2 linked regions of the Arabidopsis thaliana genome follow. The gene in region 2 interacts genetically with the main gene of each other region. Each region holds a gene or a part of one and is shown on either strand. Other genes may lie near its edges.

Region 1 (10,314 bases), on a different chromosome or scaffold from region 2:
TTTCAACATATGCTATCTGCTGACTGCTGACAGACTAGTTGTATTCTGTGGGCTTTGGCAGTTACAAGTTTCATCTTTGCACATTACATTTCCGTCTGGAGCTGAGTGGGACAAATTGAAAGAGAAAGGCTTCTCACAAAGGATTGGAATGCAGTACCACTGGAAAAATCGTGATTATAAAAAGTAATTGAAGTTAGTTGCCAGTATATTAGTTCTTAACAATGACTGGATTGGAAGTAGTTGCTATTATATTTTGTTCATTTTTTTTTTTATCTCTAATACTTCAGTTTTGACGAGTTCTTGATGGACATGAAGCAAAGCAAAAGGAAAAATATCCGACAGGAACGCAAAAAGGTTTGTTTAGTTTCCTCTTTTCATATCATCCTCATTGTGCAATTTATTCTTGTCTCTTAAGTTTCTTTGCTCATGTGAATAGTAAAATGGAATGGTTACTCTTTTTTTCTTCCCATACAACTTTTGAATTGTGGCCTTATTTCGTTATCCGTTCCTTGTGGCGTTTTTCAAGCACGCTGCTGACTTCTAATGCTCCTTTTCTCTAGTAGATTGGTACCCAGAATTTGAAAATGAGACGGCTACAAGGAGATGATATAAAGGTATGTAACTGAACTGCCACGAGACGAATTTGTTGTAATTGATTATGCCTGGCGGTATCTTTTCATTTTAATGGCTATAAATAATCAACCATGGGATATCAATCTGCTACCAGAGGTTAGAACTGATGGCACATGCTATAAAGGACATTATGGGGCTTTTATATTAATATGTGTCTTAAAAATTTGATTCATCGTTTGTGCCTAATGTTTTTGCAGGCTAGGCACTGGGATTCCTTCTATGATTTCTACAGGAACACAACTGATAACAAGTTTAGTCTTTATCTTTGAGACATTTTTGTTTTTCTTATCATTAGTACACATTATGTGTCTTTGTGCATAATAAACATACTTACATTCAATTACCTGTCATCGTCAAGTGTATGCATTACCTGTGTTTGTCCTTTCACATGCTTAACGATTTCCGGCTAATTTTAGATGGGGCACACCTTATCTCACAAGGGATTTCTTTCACGACATGGCATCGAAGTTGGGAGACAAGGTATTGCTTGTTTTAGCTGAAGAAAACGAGGAACCTGTTGCAGGAGCATTGAATCTCATTGGAGGAGATACTCTATTTGGGAGACTATGGGGATGTCGTCCCGACTCCTATTATCCTAGTCTCCATTTTGAAGCATGCTATTACCAGGTTGGTCTTGTTGTTTCAAAGTCTCAAGAGTTTTCGCCGAGACATACTTGATTAAAACTCACAAACTGATAATGGGATTCATAGGCAATTGAAGCAGCGATAGAGCTTAATCTGAAAACGGTAGAAGCTGGAGCGCAGGGTGAGCATAAGATTCAGCGAGGCTACCTTCCCGTTAAAACATATAGTTGCCATTACATATTCGATGAAGGTTTCAGGCAAGCCATAGACGAGTTTTTAGTGCGCGAATCAAATCAGGTATGTTTTGAAGTTATGGTGTTAAAAGAGTATATAAACATAGCTATGTAATTGGATCATCGACTTAAACAATGTAACTTTGTGCATCGCAGATGGATTATGTCATCAGACTGATGCATGAAGATGGACCCTTCAAAGAGAAAATAGAATAGATGCATTTATATCTTGGTTATCGCAAACATTCTTGTATATCTTAATTCTTAGGTTTATGCGTCAATGTACATTTTAATTTGGCTGCTCATGTTCGTTTTCTGATTTGGTTTTGTTACTTTCTGATCACCAAATGTACACTGACGCCTAATTTAATTTATATAGATTGTGATGTGTGAGGAATACCACATTGATGTCAGCTCCAAAGCTCACCAAGTTTCTCATCTGTAATTTAAAAACTTTAACCCGAGTCTCAGTACAATAAAATGATAATCCAGAAATGTAAAACGAAAAAAGGAAATTTTAATCCAACGAATACAATTTTTCTTTAGACTCAGCAAAATGTATGAATTTGTTTCAATGTGTTCTTCCGTGTGGAGAGTAATGAGGATTAAAGCGTTCTTCCACCTGTAACCAAAGAATTGACAAAAAAATGGTTGTTTCTTTTGTTGCTAAGCAAGCTTCTTGGGTCTACCAACAGAAGGTGTAACATTTTCGTCTTTCTTAGAACCAGGAGCTTCAGGTTTTTTGGCCCAAGCTGGAGCTCGATCTGGCTCATACCGGTAATCGTAAAATAGTTCTTCTCCAGCCAGTATCCTCTCTTTTGCGAAGATCCCCACCCTGTGATCTCCAGCAACCATGATGACCTTGAACAGATACAAAGATTTTGAGGAAAAACAGAACATACCCATCATGCGAAAACCGTATCTTTAACTTGCACTTTTCACATTTTTACCTTTGCGTAACAGTTAGGTTCAGGAGAATGGTTGGCGAATTTCAGTTTATCTCCTTTCCTGTAAGCATCTAGCACAAACTGCAGCACAATCCAAAAACATTTTAAAATTTGAAGACAACCTAGAGACTAGAGAGAAAGAGAGTTGGGACATTTCAAAGCTGCTGAGACGTGCCTGATCGTTTAGATTGAAGAGAAAAGAGCAGTTCTCGCGATCGTATATCTTCCCGCGTTTATCTGCCTCTTTATGTGAGATCAGCTCTCCTGTGTATTCCCCAAGGTATTCATGCTTACTTACACTGTTCTGTAAGAAGGAAAAATAATTGTTCTTAAGGCAAGTTCATACTCTAAACATAGATTAATCTTTGAAGGACTTATCAGTTTAACAAATTTTGAACCTAATATACCTTTAAGAAAGCTCCCCAACCAGAAACATCAGATATTCCAAGTAAAACCTGAAATTAACATAAAAAAGAGGAGGAAATTTAGCCATTTCATGTTTAATCATTTGATTGCAGATCATAGATATTTAGTTAACAAGGCTAAGTATTTACCCTTTGTTGTTGTTTCAGGAGCAATTTCATATTCCTGCACTCATAATTATCGCCTCTTTGGCTTGGGACCCCAAGCGAACCATCCCCACCACTACACATTCAAATTCATTCAGACACAGTATAAGTGCATCTGGAACTACTAAAAAAAAAGTTGCATTTCTTGAGCATTTTCTAAGAAACCAATTAGGATGGATTTGCATCCCCAATAAGACTTACATGACCCAGCAGTTTCTACAAACATCTGGGTCACATTCCCGATCTGCAGCAAAGCATGGACACTGGCGGCTTCGACACTGACTTTTGGCACAATGACAACCTCTAAACCTATTCTTGCAGCTCTTTGGGCAACTACACAGAAAATATAGTTTGTTGGTAATGAGATTCAAAGCTAAGAAATACAGATGTGGATAATCATAGATTACATTACCCGCAGTACTTCTCGCAGCAAGTCCCGTTTAGCAAACAAGGACATTCCTTCCCACAAGCAATTTTGCAGTTACATGGATTAAACTGACGGCAGGGCTGGTCTTTCTTCTCAGTAATTCTTTTCCTAATTGAATGATATGCAGCAGACTTCCAGGTATACTTCAAGCGCCGCACTTTGCCTCTCCTACGTAGAAATCTTGACCTTCTCCTCACTTGGTTATTAACCTGGTTAGTCCAGAAACTAAAGCATTAAATCCGAAGAGAAATAAATCGATTTTATCAGGAATTTGTAAACAAAGTCAAAAAGGTTTAGTGTTAATATACCATATTTCCATTGATATCGAACTTGGAAGAGCCATCAGGATTCAATCCATCACCTCCAAAGAAGGAAGCTTTATTTTCCGAGCACGTCATGTATTGGAAGACCTCCCAACATGATTTGAAACCACTCAAAAGATTTCTAGCAATCAAGCAGCTGCAAAGAAACAAAGAATCCATATGACTATATTCCACAAATTGAAAAACCTGAAGCAGAATGATAATTTAGCAGTAGCTAAATACATCAAAATTACCCACCTATTCATTCCAAAAATCTCAACACCTTTATCAAAAAGGCTTTTCTCAAGTGGTCTCCACAACTTATTTGTAGCCAATCTTCCTCGAGATACAGTTTCACCCATAAACTCTTCTTTCCTTAGACTTTCATCACTACCCGGCGCATCAAGCTCTGACGCAACCTCATTTGACTGGCAAACAGGAACGTCATCCTTCACAGAATTATTGGAGACTTCGGCAGGAGTGCCATTCTTCCTTGACTTCCCGGAGTTCCCAGATTTTACATGCTTCTGAGAAGAGGAAGTAGCATCTTCATTATCTTTATGTTTTGCATCGCTGGGTGAACAACTTCCACTGGCGATGGAATCACTATCCGAGGCTTCTGTCTTCTTCTGCCTCTTCTGAGTCTTACGAGGAACTCGCTCAGCAACTCGGTTTTTGTTCCTCTTACGACCTACTCGTCTCCCACTACCTTTCACCTTTGGCGATGATGAAACTTTATCGGAATTGGTATCCTGCTGTAGTCCATTCTCTGAGTCACTTGTTTCTAGTGCGCACTTTTCATTAGACGATGCACTTTCACTTGGGAAGGTCTTTGGTTTTCTCCCATTAAGTTTGCTGGAGAACTTCGTGGGTGTGGTTTTAGTACCTGCACCATCTGATGAAGTGCCAGTTTTACCTTCAATGGTGCCATATCCCGGAAATCTTCCAGACTTGAGAAGCTGATAAATTGAAAACAACGCTTTTTGTTAAACCAGTCTTTCTAGGAGATGAGCTTAGCAACGAGAAAATAACAAATTTACCGTTTTATAGCAGTTTGCACCACAGGTTAAATTTTCATCTACAGGAGGACACCATGGAGCTGGTTTCTCAGCCTAAAAATCCATAAAATTAGATAAGTAACACTAAAGTTATAGTAAGATTTTTTCGGTTGGCACTAAACTCACCGGAAAAATGAGATCCTGTGAACACCCATGAAGCCGGCAATCAAATACCTGCATAGATGCATACAAAAGTTAAAAAGAGACCAATGTTTGCTCGATCATTAAGCAATAACCCATGAAACATTAGCCTGAGAAAATCAAATGGACTAACAAGGCATCTACGGCAGAACAGGTTATCGAAAGAATCTAATGCTCCTTCCATATCTTTGTTGAGAAGGGAGCTCTCTGCTTGATTATCGCCACTCTCGGATACTTCTTTTTCCTTCATAAGCACTCCATGTCTTGCCTGTATAAGATGGTCGGTGTTCATATCTCTGCAAAAAGCCAATTGGGAAAGGGCTGGAACAATACTAATTGGATTTCCTTAAACAATGCATCCCTCACTCTGTTTTGAAATCCTACAACTGAAGTGCTTGATTCTAAAGAAAATAGCACATGATAGTTCACACAAGCAATAGGCAGAGAAAAAAGTTGTTGATACCTTGATTTCACTAGTACTTCTAGACAAGAAACTTGCTAGTTCCGCCAGGACTGAGTCTGAAAGACCTAGTTGCTCAAGGGTCATGCTGAAGAAACGAAGGGAAATTTAATCCAACAATATAAGTGAGAACAAACCAGCATAACAGTTGACATAGCAGACAAGAGATTCACACTAAGAGACCAAAATGCAAGAATGATTAAACTCCTGCCATTTAATACTAACCGAATAATATAATCTTCAGGCTCCAAAAAATCTCTTTTTTCTTCTTCGTCGTCAATGGCCTCCTCTTCACTATCACTGCAGATAAGCGCTTCCCCGCCAGTTTGATCATAATAAATTCTCCTTCGACCCACTACAGACTGGTCTTCAGTCATTCTTTGATTTCTGCATCATTTCAAGAGTGATTATAACGTTAAGATACTATGCGAGGGGCTTACATTTCAACTTGAATATTTTCAAGTACTCTTGCGACATTAATGTCAACATACCTGTCCAGAAAAACCCATGTGGTATAAGGTGACAAACGTTTGATATCAGGCATTTTGATAGGACGTAAGGAAATTTTGACAGGGACACTAGATCCTTGAACCATTCCTGAACTGGCAGGTCCATCTTCTACATATCTGTTGTTATTACTTTCATCGATTCCGCTTTTCATACCTGGCGAATCTCTTTGCCTCTTAACTAAAAGATCACTGCCATCTTTACAGCTACCTCCTCGTTCCATAGAAGACCTCATAAAACTTTGAGTAATAGCAAACAAATTCTTCTTGTTTTCATCAATCCTTTTCTGGTTACAAACACATCAATTTCTAACAATCAGATTCAGAAACACATAAAACATACAAAAAAAAAACTAAACAAAAATAGCAACCTTTATTGATATACACCTATCAGCTGCAAGCTTCTTCTTTAGCGATTCTATTACTTCTGATACTTCCTTAGAAGCTGGACCTCTCTCCTCCGCCTGAAACATCAAAATGAGGTTCCTTTACACAGTGTTCAATGAGAGAAACTATCAATTGCAGCAAAAATGGTTCCTAAACGAACCCAAAAACAACTTCATATCTCACAATCCAGCAATCTCTAGATCTAAAAACGAGCATATAGAGAAGCTCAAACAAGCCATCGAGTTTCGTTCTCTTCACTCAAACTAAAGCAAATCAAAGTCAATGCCTCAATAGCACAAAGAAAAAAGTTCCATTTTTAGAAAGTAAGAAAAAAAAAAAAAACGATTGACGCACCGGAGAGTCTTTGGGTGGCTCCGATCTGGTGGCCGAAGAAGAAGGCGAAGCTTCTGACGCCATTGTCAAGAAACCAGATCGGAACCGAAACAAATGCGGGTCCGGGTTAAGATCCGGGTCGCGAAATCTGAAATGTTGGAGGAGAGAAGGAATTTGGCGGGTCGTTATAAACCCTAAAAATTTATCTTCAATTTTGTTTTTATTTTGGATCTTTTATCTTCAAATCCAAAAAAAATTTCGTTTTACTTTTAAAGAACATTGTTTACGAATTGGGAAGCGTGTAAATTAGAAACTTTTTCCAATTATTTAAAAAAAAAAAAGTTGGTGGGAAAATAGCGACGTGGCAGCTCGATTTGAATTATCTACTGTACATCTCCGGCGACGGTTTACCGGAATATCACGTAGCTCGAGACAACGAATCTACTAGAGTTCGAGACTGGTTCTATATCAACTGAACAAAACAAACACGAACGTTGCTGGGCTCTGATTTAATGGGCTCTTAAACCCTATTTGTTTGGGCTTTATTTTTTGTTTTTTTTTTCAGCAACAGCTTTTCGAAGTCTCTCTGTAATCTCATCGGACGAGAAACAGTACGGCGATCGGAAAACTCTGAGATGCATCGCGGCGCGGCGGTTTTCGGACGGAAACGTAGACTGATACTTCTCCATGGCAGCAGAAACTTCGCCAGATCCTTTTGCTCTTCTTCTTCACTATCTGGTGAGAGGGATTCACATCTTCGCTATTTCATTTGCAACTTCTGGAAGCTGTGCGATGGCTTGAGATTGGTTTATGATTCTTACGGTGCCGAATTTGAACAATCAGTGAATCGAAGTTAACGATTGATTATGTGCAGAACATGAATGTTTCATTAAGGATATAGCAAAAGCTCAGCCTCCTAAGCATCTGATGCAGCTGCTGAATATATTCACAGCTAGAGGTAAATCAATCTTACACTGACTTGCTGATCGTATTTTCGAAGTTTTTGTTTGTTAACTTGCGGAATGGTGACTTTTGCTTGTGGTAATGACATTGGATCAGGTAAATCCATAGTTTCTCCTGGTGCCAAGCAAGGCTTGTTACCTCTTACTATTCCGTTGGTGAAAATGAGCCCGGGTATGATTCTGGACTTGTACATAAGTTCTTATCTGAGGTTGTAACACTTTCATATTAAGTTTGTATGACTTTCCTTTTTCAGGTTCTTCAATTGCTCTATTACGGTGGCCAACAGCTCCTTCTAGGTTAGATCCTCCTTGCTTTTTTAATATCGTCATGTTTCTCTTCTTTTGTAGCTTATCATTGTTTGTGGTGTTTGCAGTATGGAGATGCCTGTGGTGGAAGTTCAGAAACATGGGGTTTGGTTTCTAGCTAATAATGTAATGAGTCTTTTTATAGCATTACTGATGCGTTAATTTAGGGTTATTTTTGTTGAGTGTTCATTCTCATATCTGACTTCATTGGCCAACATTCAGGTTGATCAGTTCATTCACAGAATATTGGTGGAAGAAGATGTTTCCAAACCCGAAGAATGCAGCCAAGAAATCTTCAATGCTGCTGGTGAAGCTGGGAAGAAACTTTACAGTAAGGGTGACTTTGCCAGTTCAAGACTGATGGATTTAGATGCCTATCTTTTAAGAAAGGTACATATATTGAGCCTGTTAATATCAGAATCTTTTCTGCACATGGATACTGGGATATGATTATTAGCTTTGTAATTCAGGTTGGATTGTTTCCAGATTCTCTTGAACGAAAAGTTATTCGGCATATCGAGAATGGAGACCATGTAAGGCTAGTAATTATATCTATCCTGTTGTAGTTGACGTGTTTTCTCTTTTTAAACTATCTTCACGTGCTAATACAAGGTTTCAGCTTTGGTGGCTACCGAGTTTTATACAAAGAGAGGGAACTTTCCCGGATTTGCCCGGCCATTCGCTTTCAACGCAAAAGTTTTACTGAAGTTCGTATGATCCTTTCTCATCATCCCTCTTTCTCCCTTGTGAACGACCCCCAGGTAAATGCTTACGTCCTTTCTAGAAAACTCTAAGACCTCTATATATTTTGTAGACTTGGGCGTAACTTAGAAGCGAAAGACGCAGCTAGGGGTGCTTTGAAATCTTCGTGGTGGACCTTAGGATGCAGATATGAGGTACAATTCCTTGACTATCGACAAGCAATTTTGGTAATCGAAAAGAGAAGGGAAAAAAGTGTTGAACATATGAAACGGGTTCCCAGGAAATTGCTCAAATAGCAGAGTGGGGAGAAGAGCAAATTGCGCAGTATAAGGAGAGAGTTACAGGAGAAGGAAAACAACGGGATATAGACAGGGGAAAGCCAATGGCTCAGGTTTGTTCTTTGCCTGTATTCATTATCAGATACTCATATCATGCTTATGGATACAAAGGCTTGAAACAAAACTTGTAATTCTCAGGCATCTTTGGACGAGGCTGCGTTCTTACTGAATCTAGCGTCACTTGAAGGGACATGGGACGAATCACTGGAACGGGTTGCTCAGTGCTACAAGGAAGCTGGACTTAACGACATCGCCAAGTTTGTTCTGTACAGAGATTGAGAAGTCTCTTTTAAAGGCCACAATTTGTTCTTTTGAGACCTGAGATGACATTATATCAAATGATCTTATGCATTTAGTGTCTACGTTGAAGATTTACATTAACCCTGCTAAAGATTCATTGGGTCAAGATTACTGATTGTATCCTTTCTGAGACTAAAAGTGGAATAAAGCAGAATGATCATCTTATAGAGTAATACTCTACGTGGAGATTATATATATACTGCCAAAAAAATCTAGAAAATGACAGTTTAGTTTGCATAGTTTGGGTCTTTGGGACCATATAAAGAAACAGGATTAAGGTATTAGATTATAGTCTAGATGACAGATGCCACCATCTTCTTAGTTGGCAAATGGATTAGGGACCTTCTTGCTCTTACCTTTCTTATTTCTCCCCAACAGCTTTCTCCAGAGGCTCTTAACTCCGCCGGTCTTTTTCTGAGGAACAATGGCAAAGCAGTTTGAGTCGGAGCCTTTGCTTTTGTCTGAGAGAAGAATCTGTTCTAGTGCCTCAATGGTTTCATTGTAAACAGAGCTGTTTCCTCCCTTTCCGTTTTTATCTGCTGCTTGCGGTTTCTGATCCTTGGATTCCCCGGTGTTGTGATCTTCTGCCTTCATCTGATCCAAAAGAGATGATCTCTGGCTGGTCAATCTCTTCTCTGGTTTAGTAGTCTCATGTGAAGGTTGTGCATCAGGTAGGTTGTTCGATTTGTCTGTAACGTCGTACATGAGTGTTTCTGAAAGTAAAGCTGTTTCCTTTGAGTTAGTCAATGCCTTGAGCTGCTTTCCCAGGTTTAGAATCGTCTCTTGACACTCGGCCAACTTTTCTGAAGCAGCAGCGATTTCCAATTCCTGAATCATCAAACACATAAAACAGATTGGTCTTGGACAAAAACAACTCTCAATGTAATGGTATCGATTTTCTTCTGCTTGTAACTTACGGTTCGCATGTTTTGTTTTTCCTCCAGCTTGAGCTCGTTCTCTGAAGCACTGCAACAAGAAAACCATTGGATGCATCAGAGATAAAATGTATGATTTTGCTGACATGAAGTCTTTAAGCATTCATATTTACCTCGCTGTTTTGTCATTTGCCTCTTCTTCAACCGTTTTGCGCGACAAGTTTTGATTACCAGGTTTGTCTTCAATCAA
Region 2 (7,621 bases):
GAGAGTCATTACTTGAAGTGTTTTCCCCCAAAGATTGCCACTTATGTTAGTAAGCTGGAGAGTGAGAGGAAGAACACTTAGATGAAACATGAGCTCCATGGATAACCATGCATCCGTCTCACCACATTCAATCTGAAAGAAAAGAAAATCAAAGGGTTATAACAAGCGAGCAATTAAGATGCAGTCATCACTCATCAACCTTAAGTGACTGCTGTTATCTGCAATCCCTTTACTTCTATGTATGACTGGATTATTTATTCTTCAATAGTTTGCACTAAATTGTTTCGCATGCAAGGATTCATAACCTATCGTCCCTAATGTGGTAGTACCAACTCATACATAAAACAGACATGACCGGGCTCATCGAAGAACTTACAAGTTCCACAAGTGTTTTGGATGACTGAAACATTTTGGGAATATCATTAGGCGCTATCTCTTTCCTGTCCCGGTTCAGCTGTGTCTTTGAGAGGTCCGTTAAAGAATAACTGACCTGCAAGAAACAGATGCTTATACATGAGGGACTGAGCTTCAACTTACTGCTTACAAGACCTGCAAGGGTATCATACCTCCTTCAACAAGTCACGAGAACACAGATCTGTATCACACAAGAGCCTTCCAGCAATACAAGACATGAGCCCTGGTGTAGCTCCTGACCCATAATTACTGTTTCCTTTAAGCTTAGGCATAAAAGAGCGTTTGAGTCGGCCAATTTTGGACCACATGCTACTCTGAACTTTGCAAGCCTGCACAATAGTAATCATTCAGTTTAAAGAACAAGACAGACATGTATATATCTCTATTACATGATCATCACAACAGGAGAGACTGGAAAAGGGACTAATGATGTACAATGCATGAAATAAAAACTTGCTGGCTTATTACGTTAAATATCATCTAATAGGCCTGGAAAGACAAGATCTTACAAAACTAATATGAAGCATATCATAGAAAGATAAGAAAATAAAATAAAATGAAAGACACAACCATTTTTCTTAATGGTAAAAAGAGATTTTGCTTTACCTGGGCCCTTTGAAGAAGAACATCCAGATCAAAACCTGAAATATTATGTCCCACAAGAATATCACTGTCCAATTTGTTTAACTCCAAAAACAATCGGTTCAGCAATGCTCTTTCACTGCAGTAAGAAAAGGAACAAAATATTGGACGAAGCCAACATGAATTGCCAAAGATATATGTGAAGGATCACAAACACAGCCTATTCAGTAACAGAGCTGCAACACACCTGTTTTCAATACTTAATACATTGCAGCCGTTCTTTGAATTTCTGTCAGACACTTCTTTTTTCCAACCAATTGGGTAACCGGTTCCTTCAGGATTCCTAACAACAGTGAAATGACTCAGAATACCAGATCTCTTTCTTTCTGGAGCTGGCATTGGAACATCAATCTGAAAGATCAAGGAGCACGCACATCATATGTCAAGCTACTAATGTAGACAGAAAGAGTGTCTTTTGAGCAAGAAACAATCGTCCAAAATGAGCGTTAATATAAAACCACATGGTACGAAAACCTACTGGTGATTGGTAATGCCATGATCATACATCCGTATTCTTCACAAAGACAACAACAACAACAACAAAAAAGGCTAAGAAGCATTGGTTAAATGTTGTAGAACAAACCTTGGCGTTGTGAAAGCAGAGAACAGATGCAGAAACAATTTCGCTTATGTTCTGCTTTTCATTGACTATAGTCTTTAAATTTATGGCTGTAACAACAGCAGGAGGGTGAACCACCTTTTCCTCTGAAACTAAAATAGTGATATCCTTGGGAGATTGAACAGTAACCTCAAACTTGCACCAACTCACCTGCACAAGTGGCAAGTCCTCTCATTAGCGGAGATAAACAGAACTAGAAAAATCACTGATTATATGATTATGGCACAGATTTAAGGTCTTACTCCTTCCGAAGGAGAGCAAGTAGAGAAGCTTGAAATTTTGAGCCAACAAGGTCCCATGATCTTCCTCTTAAGGATAAAATGCTCCAAAGCACTGCATATGAATTAACTTTGATAAGGATGAAAAAATTGCACCGTGCTAAATTGACATAGCCAGCATACATAGTTAACTAAGAAGCTTACAGAAGACCAGAAAATACAAACTTAACAAACCAACTACCAAACACATGGAAAGGTAATGAAACTCAGCAGTAAGAAGCTAGAACCTGGTATGAGACCCGAGCAAAGCGGAGAAAGACTCGCCTTTAAGATCTTCTGGAAGTGGACGATCCTGTTATAAAAGAGGAAACTTGTCATATTGTTGAGATGTAAGAAAACAGACGATTTTTAGTTTTATTTTGAACAGCTGAAATGTACCTTAAATGAATAATTTATCTTCAAAACATATTGTTCGCCAGCAGGCACATCAGGCCTCTCAAAAGCATAGTTTCTCTGATATTCGTACATAAAGAGCAGAATAGAGAGTCAAAAGAAAAGTATTGCTGCTAGAATACATGAAAAAGAAGTCAAATATCCAAACCTTGACAGGCGCCATGCTAAAATTTGAAACATTGAGCTGTAACAATTCCTGAGCAATTTCGTTTTTCAGTTTTGATGCCATTTCCTGAGAAGACACAGCCAAAAACAATGAACAACAGAGGAAAATAGATTGCTTCCTCTTAGCATGTAACAAAGGTAGTCAAACTCACATGCAATTTCCCACGGAAGGATTCAGGAGAAAGTCGAGAGTCTTTCACCTCTTGCTCGAGCATGATTAGTTCATGGGAAGGAAATATGGAATCATTTGGAATAGCATAAACACACCTCTGGATATTCTTAACTACCACACAGCAACTCTTGTAAGTATCTCCCATTTTAACCTGAATTGTTAAAAAAAGAGAGACCGAATTCATTCTCTAGATTAAGGCCAAAAGAACAACTTTAAAAATGAATGAAAAATCTAGAGATTCACCTTCCCAAACAGATATATTGTGCCCATGCTCGCACCAAAAGCCTCCTCATAAGCGTCAAGAATGAAGAAACGAAGTGATCCGTCAGCATCCAAATCAAATTCCGTTTTCCCTTCAGAACTAGAACCAAGCAAAGCCCCATTCTCAGTTCCAACTTTTCCCATCGCTTCCTTCCAACCAGCAGTGGCACTTAAAGCCGAATCCTTCTCTTTCATATCAATCGTTGCATTCAATGTAAATACCTCCTTGACACCTAACTCACTCTTCACTTCAGTTTTCCTTATCTTGTTTGATCCATCCTCTTTGACAATATCACTTCCAAGTAATTCCATAGTCTCAGAAGGAATGACTTCAGATTCTTTCATATCTTCCTCTTTCATCAATTCATTATCCATGGAAACAGAATCACCCTCATAAGTTGAAGGTGTTGGTTCAGACTCTTTCATTCCCATACTCGAGGCAACAGAAAACAGTTTTTTATTCTTGAAGATGGTAACTGGAACAGTACCTGGTAGTTTTCTCCTCGTATGCTTTTTTCTATCCGACTCATCTGGAGTAACCTGAGCTATTATCTCGTCAAGAATACCCTCATACTGTGCCTTATCAGTCTCCTTAACTTTCTTGAAACTCGAAGATGTGAACATAGACGAAAGTCTACCTTCACCAGTGATAGTAGCCGCAGCTTTTAACGCCGGATTCACCTTCTTAACCTGAGGTTGCTGCGTTTGCTCTTTCCCTTTCTTCTTCTTCTTAAGTCTCCCACTAAACCTACCACCGTCGTCTGATTCATCAGTCGATTCTGGTCCACTTGGCTTCGACCAATCCTCCTCCTCACCTTCGTCGAGATATCCCAAATCGCCACCTTCCCCATCTTCAACTACAAACCCGCGAGCCTCCTCGCGCCGCCGGGAAACAAGTGCGTCGTACTCTTCGTCATCAACGGTATCGAAGATTGGCTTCTGCAGCCTAATATCGTACCCACCACCTGACGCAGAACGGATTCCTCCTTGTCGAATCGCCTTCAGACGCTCGAGTGTGTCTTTCCTACTCGACGCCTCCGCGCCTCGGCTACGTCTTCGTCCAGTTTCCGTTGAATTATCGCCGGACATTTTTACAAATCCGGTCAATTTGGTGGTTTGGTGAAGCTGAGTAACTGATTTAGGTTTAAGAACCCAGATTAAGAAATGGAGATGGCGGGAAAATCGACACGATTTTGGCGCTATCCATTTGCCAAATCCGAATCCAACAAACAAACGGGTTCTCTTAATGGGCCTTACTCCTCTTTAATAAAGCCCAAAAACAAAAACAAAAAAGAAGCAATTATGAGACATCTATTTGAACGAGATCAAGCATCAGAGAGTTGTAGGAGCTACCTCGGTCTGTGAAGTAATTGCTGATGGAGTCCACCAAGTGTAGAATCTAGCTAAATACAGTAAAAGAATCAAAGTTTCAGCCTGAGTTCTAAGTTACTGATATTTACCGATTCGAAAGTCTAAACTATTGCTGAAACTACTAATAAGTTCATATCCAAAATCATTGTTCTCTATGATAAAGCCCAATTGAAAGAGAAAAGAAAAAAAAACAATGATGAGAGATGATGTGTTGCCGACCACCTAAAACCACTTTAACAAAAGCAAAAGCCAAGTAAAGGTTACATTCTCTGCAACTTTTTTGTCATAATAAAAACTAAACATCTATTAACAACAACACTATAATTGTTTCTTACTAACACCAAAATTCATTTCACTTTGAAGAGACCAGAGAAAAAAACTTGCTCAGACATGGGGATGACCGTCGTAATTATTCTGGTGTTCTCATTTTTCGTAGCGATTGTAACGGCGGAGACCTCTCCTTACATCATCCACATGGACTTATCCGCTAAACCGTTGCCATTTTCCGATCATCGGAGCTGGTTTTCCACAACTCTTACTTCAGTTATAACCAATAGAAAACCAAAGATTATCTACGCTTATACCGATTCGGTTCACGGGTTTAGCGCGGTTCTCACCAACTCTGAGCTCCAACGTCTTAAACACAAACCCGGGTATGTCTCGTTCACCAAAGATTTACCGGTTAAGCTTCATACCACTTTCTCTCCAAAGTTTATCGGTTTAAATTCGACATCCGGTACATGGCCGGTCTCGAATTATGGAGCTGGTATAGTAATCGGTATTATAGATACCGGAATTTGGCCCGATAGTCCCAGCTTTCACGACGATGGGGTTGGTTCGGTTCCGTCTAAATGGAAAGGAGCATGTGAATTCAATTCTTCTTCCTTGTGCAACAAGAAACTAATCGGTGCTAAGGTATTCAACAAGGGTTTGTTCGCCAACAACCCTGATTTGAGAGAAACCAAGATTGGCCAATACTCTTCACCGTACGATACAATCGGACACGGCACTCATGTTGCAGCCATTGCAGCTGGGAATCATGTTAAGAACGCGTCTTACTTCTCTTACGCCCAAGGAACCGCCTCAGGAATCGCACCACACGCGCATCTAGCAATCTACAAAGCCGCGTGGGAAGAAGGGATTTACTCATCAGATGTAATCGCAGCGATTGATCAAGCGATTCGAGATGGAGTCCATGTGATATCTCTGTCGCTAGGATTGAGTTTTGAGGATGATGACGACAATGATGGTTTCGGTCTAGAAAATGATCCAATCGCAGTCGCATCTTTTGCAGCGATTCAAAAAGGCGTTTTCGTGGTTACTTCCGGCGGTAACGACGGGCCATATTACTGGAGTTTGATTAACGGAGCGCCGTGGATTATGACGGTTGGAGCGGGAACAATTGGTAGGCAATTTCAAGGAACCCTAACGTTTGGAAACAGAGTTAGTTTCAGTTTTCCATCTCTGTTTCCTGGAGAGTTCCCTTCGGTTCAGTTTCCAGTAACTTACATCGAATCTGGCAGCGTTGAAAACAAGACTCTCGCAAACAGAATTGTTGTCTGTAACGAAAACATAAACATCGGTAGCAAACTTCATCAAATCAGATCCACCGGAGCTGCAGCAGTAGTTTTAATAACAGATAAGTTACTTGAGGAGCAAGACACAATAAAATTCCAGTTTCCAGTAGCATTCATCGGCTCAAAACACCGAGAAACTATTGAAAGCTACGCATCAAGCAACAAAAACAACGCGACCGCAAAGCTGGAGTTTCGTAAAACGGTAATCGGGACAAAACCAGCGCCAGAAGTTGGCACATACAGCTCAAGGGGTCCATTCACAAGCTTCCCTCAAATCCTGAAACCAGACATTCTAGCTCCTGGGACACTTATACTCTCTGCTTGGCCGTCGGTTGAGCAAATCACCGGAACTCGAGCACTACCGTTATTCAGCGGATTCAATCTCTTAACCGGGACATCAATGGCTGCACCTCATGTAGCTGGAGTCGCTGCGCTTATAAAGCAAGTCCATCCAAATTGGAGTCCATCGGCTATAAAATCTGCAATTATGACAACGGCTTTGACTTTAGACAACCCATTAGCCGTTGGAGCAGGGCATGTGAGTACGAACAAAGTCTTAAACCCTGGCCTAATCTATGATACAACTCCACAAGATTTCATAAACTTCCTTTGTCACGAGGCAAAACAATCAAGAAAATTGATCAATATCATCACGAGATCGAATATCTCCGACGCTTGTAAAAAGCCATCTCCATATCTCAATTACCCTTCAATCATTGCCTACTTCACGTCTGATCAAAGCAGTCCCAAGATCTTTAAGAGGACATTGACAAACGTGGGAGAAGCAAAGAGAAGCTACATCGTGAGAGTGAGAGGCTTGAAGGGTCTAAACGTCGTCGTAGAGCCAAAGAAACTAATGTTCAGCGAGAAAAACGAGAAGCTAAGCTACACTGTGAGATTGGAGAGTCCAAGAGGGTTACAAGAGAACGTGGTTTATGGATTGGTGAGTTGGGTTGATGAAGATGAAGCTGAGTTTGAAGTGAGCTGTTCTGTGGTGGCCACGAGCCTTGTCCAAGAGTCTTGATCTTTACTTTGCAAAAGATTTGTTTTTTTTCTTCTTTGGTTAAACTTATTCTCTTATTCCGTGTGATTATGTCTGAATATACGATCTTTATTCACATTCATGGAGAAAGATAATCGAGATAATGGGCTCATGAGTCATGAATACAATTTCCATATAGTACTAAAGAGAATCAAGATTTGAGATCATGAATACAAAACTGGTATTTACATATAAATAAATAGTCAATTTCTAATAAGAAATATTTATACAACGAATTAAATTAGAATTGTTGGATCTGACTAGGAATTAAAAAAAAGCTCTAGTCTTTCTCTGCAACTCTGTTTTTGTCCCCTGTTTTTTAATCACTATCGTCACCGTACGGTGACCCAGCTATTGGTAACAGACCAATCAGGGATCATATCAGTCACCAAACTAGCAACTCTCTCATCCGGCGAATCGATCGTTTGTGAACCGGAAGAAACCGAAACCCAATCGGGAAATTCGAATGGGCATCTCGGCGATGTCGAGACGTCCTCTGTTTTCATATTAACAACGAAATCTTCTTCTTTGACTAAAACGTCGTGATCAACATCGACGGTTACAAATGGATGGTTTAGAAGCATCTCAGCCGTCCATCTCTTTTTGGGATCTTTAACGAAACACTTTGACAAAAAATCTCTTCCTTGTTCCGACAACTCCTCGGGAATCATCGGAACCTCGTCACCA

Evidence for each region.
Region 1: of ICU2 (region 2) and CLF, changing one enhances a phenotype caused by changing the other (phenotypic enhancement), as found in Arabidopsis thaliana (one study listed by BioGRID).

The regions. Positions count from the first base shown.
Region 1 is NC_003071.7:9,951,921-9,962,234, reverse strand, and holds CLF (SET domain-containing protein), read right to left. Parts: upstream 7,144-10,314; 5' UTR 6,666-7,143; coding exon 6,603-6,665; intron 6,326-6,602; coding exon 6,233-6,325; intron 6,149-6,232; coding exon 5,847-6,148; intron 5,743-5,846; coding exon 5,581-5,742; intron 5,444-5,580; coding exon 5,359-5,443; intron 5,222-5,358; exon of another isoform or gene 5,188-5,221; coding exon of another isoform or gene 5,164-5,187; coding exon 5,029-5,163; intron 4,929-5,028; coding exon 4,881-4,928; intron 4,809-4,880; coding exon 4,737-4,808; intron 4,656-4,736; coding exon 3,955-4,655; intron 3,854-3,954; coding exon 3,703-3,853; intron 3,604-3,702; coding exon 3,380-3,603; intron 3,301-3,379; coding exon 3,169-3,300; intron 3,044-3,168; coding exon 2,953-3,043; intron 2,854-2,952; coding exon 2,806-2,853; intron 2,703-2,805; coding exon 2,574-2,702; intron 2,480-2,573; coding exon 2,402-2,479; intron 2,313-2,401; coding exon 2,118-2,312; 3' UTR 1,849-2,117; downstream 1-1,848. Other genes in the region: AT2G23390 (acyl-CoA), read left to right, coding at 62-183, 288-354, 564-614, 831-883, 1,050-1,260, 1,345-1,515, 1,608-1,667; AT2G23370 (cyclin delta-3), read left to right, coding at 7,217-7,319, 7,456-7,539, 7,641-7,715, 7,798-7,840, 7,918-7,975, 8,072-8,239, 8,320-8,382, 8,462-8,556 and 3 more; AT2G23360 (filament-like protein (DUF869)), read right to left, coding at 9,508-10,017, 10,107-10,155, 10,238-10,314. UniProt on the Arabidopsis thaliana protein: Polycomb group (PcG) protein. Catalytic subunit of some PcG multiprotein complex, which methylates 'Lys-27' of histone H3, leading to transcriptional repression of the affected target genes, mainly abscisic acid (ABA) responsive elements.
Region 2 is NC_003076.8:26,773,406-26,781,026, reverse strand, and holds the start of ICU2 (DNA-directed DNA polymerase), read right to left. Parts: upstream 4,075-7,621; 5' UTR 4,034-4,074; coding exon 2,927-4,033; intron 2,835-2,926; coding exon 2,664-2,834; intron 2,579-2,663; coding exon 2,495-2,578; intron 2,407-2,494; coding exon 2,332-2,406; intron 2,246-2,331; coding exon 2,181-2,245; intron 2,009-2,180; coding exon 1,918-2,008; intron 1,826-1,917; coding exon 1,640-1,825; intron 1,408-1,639; coding exon 1,244-1,407; intron 1,136-1,243; coding exon 1,021-1,135; intron 744-1,020; coding exon 567-743; intron 491-566; coding exon 377-490; intron 133-376; coding exon 13-132; intron 1-12. Other genes in the region: AT5G67090 (Subtilisin-like serine endopeptidase family protein), read left to right, coding at 4,706-6,916; MAPKKK19 (mitogen-activated protein kinase kinase kinase 19), read right to left, coding at 7,267-7,621. UniProt on the Arabidopsis thaliana protein: Polymerase alpha in a complex with DNA primase is a replicative polymerase.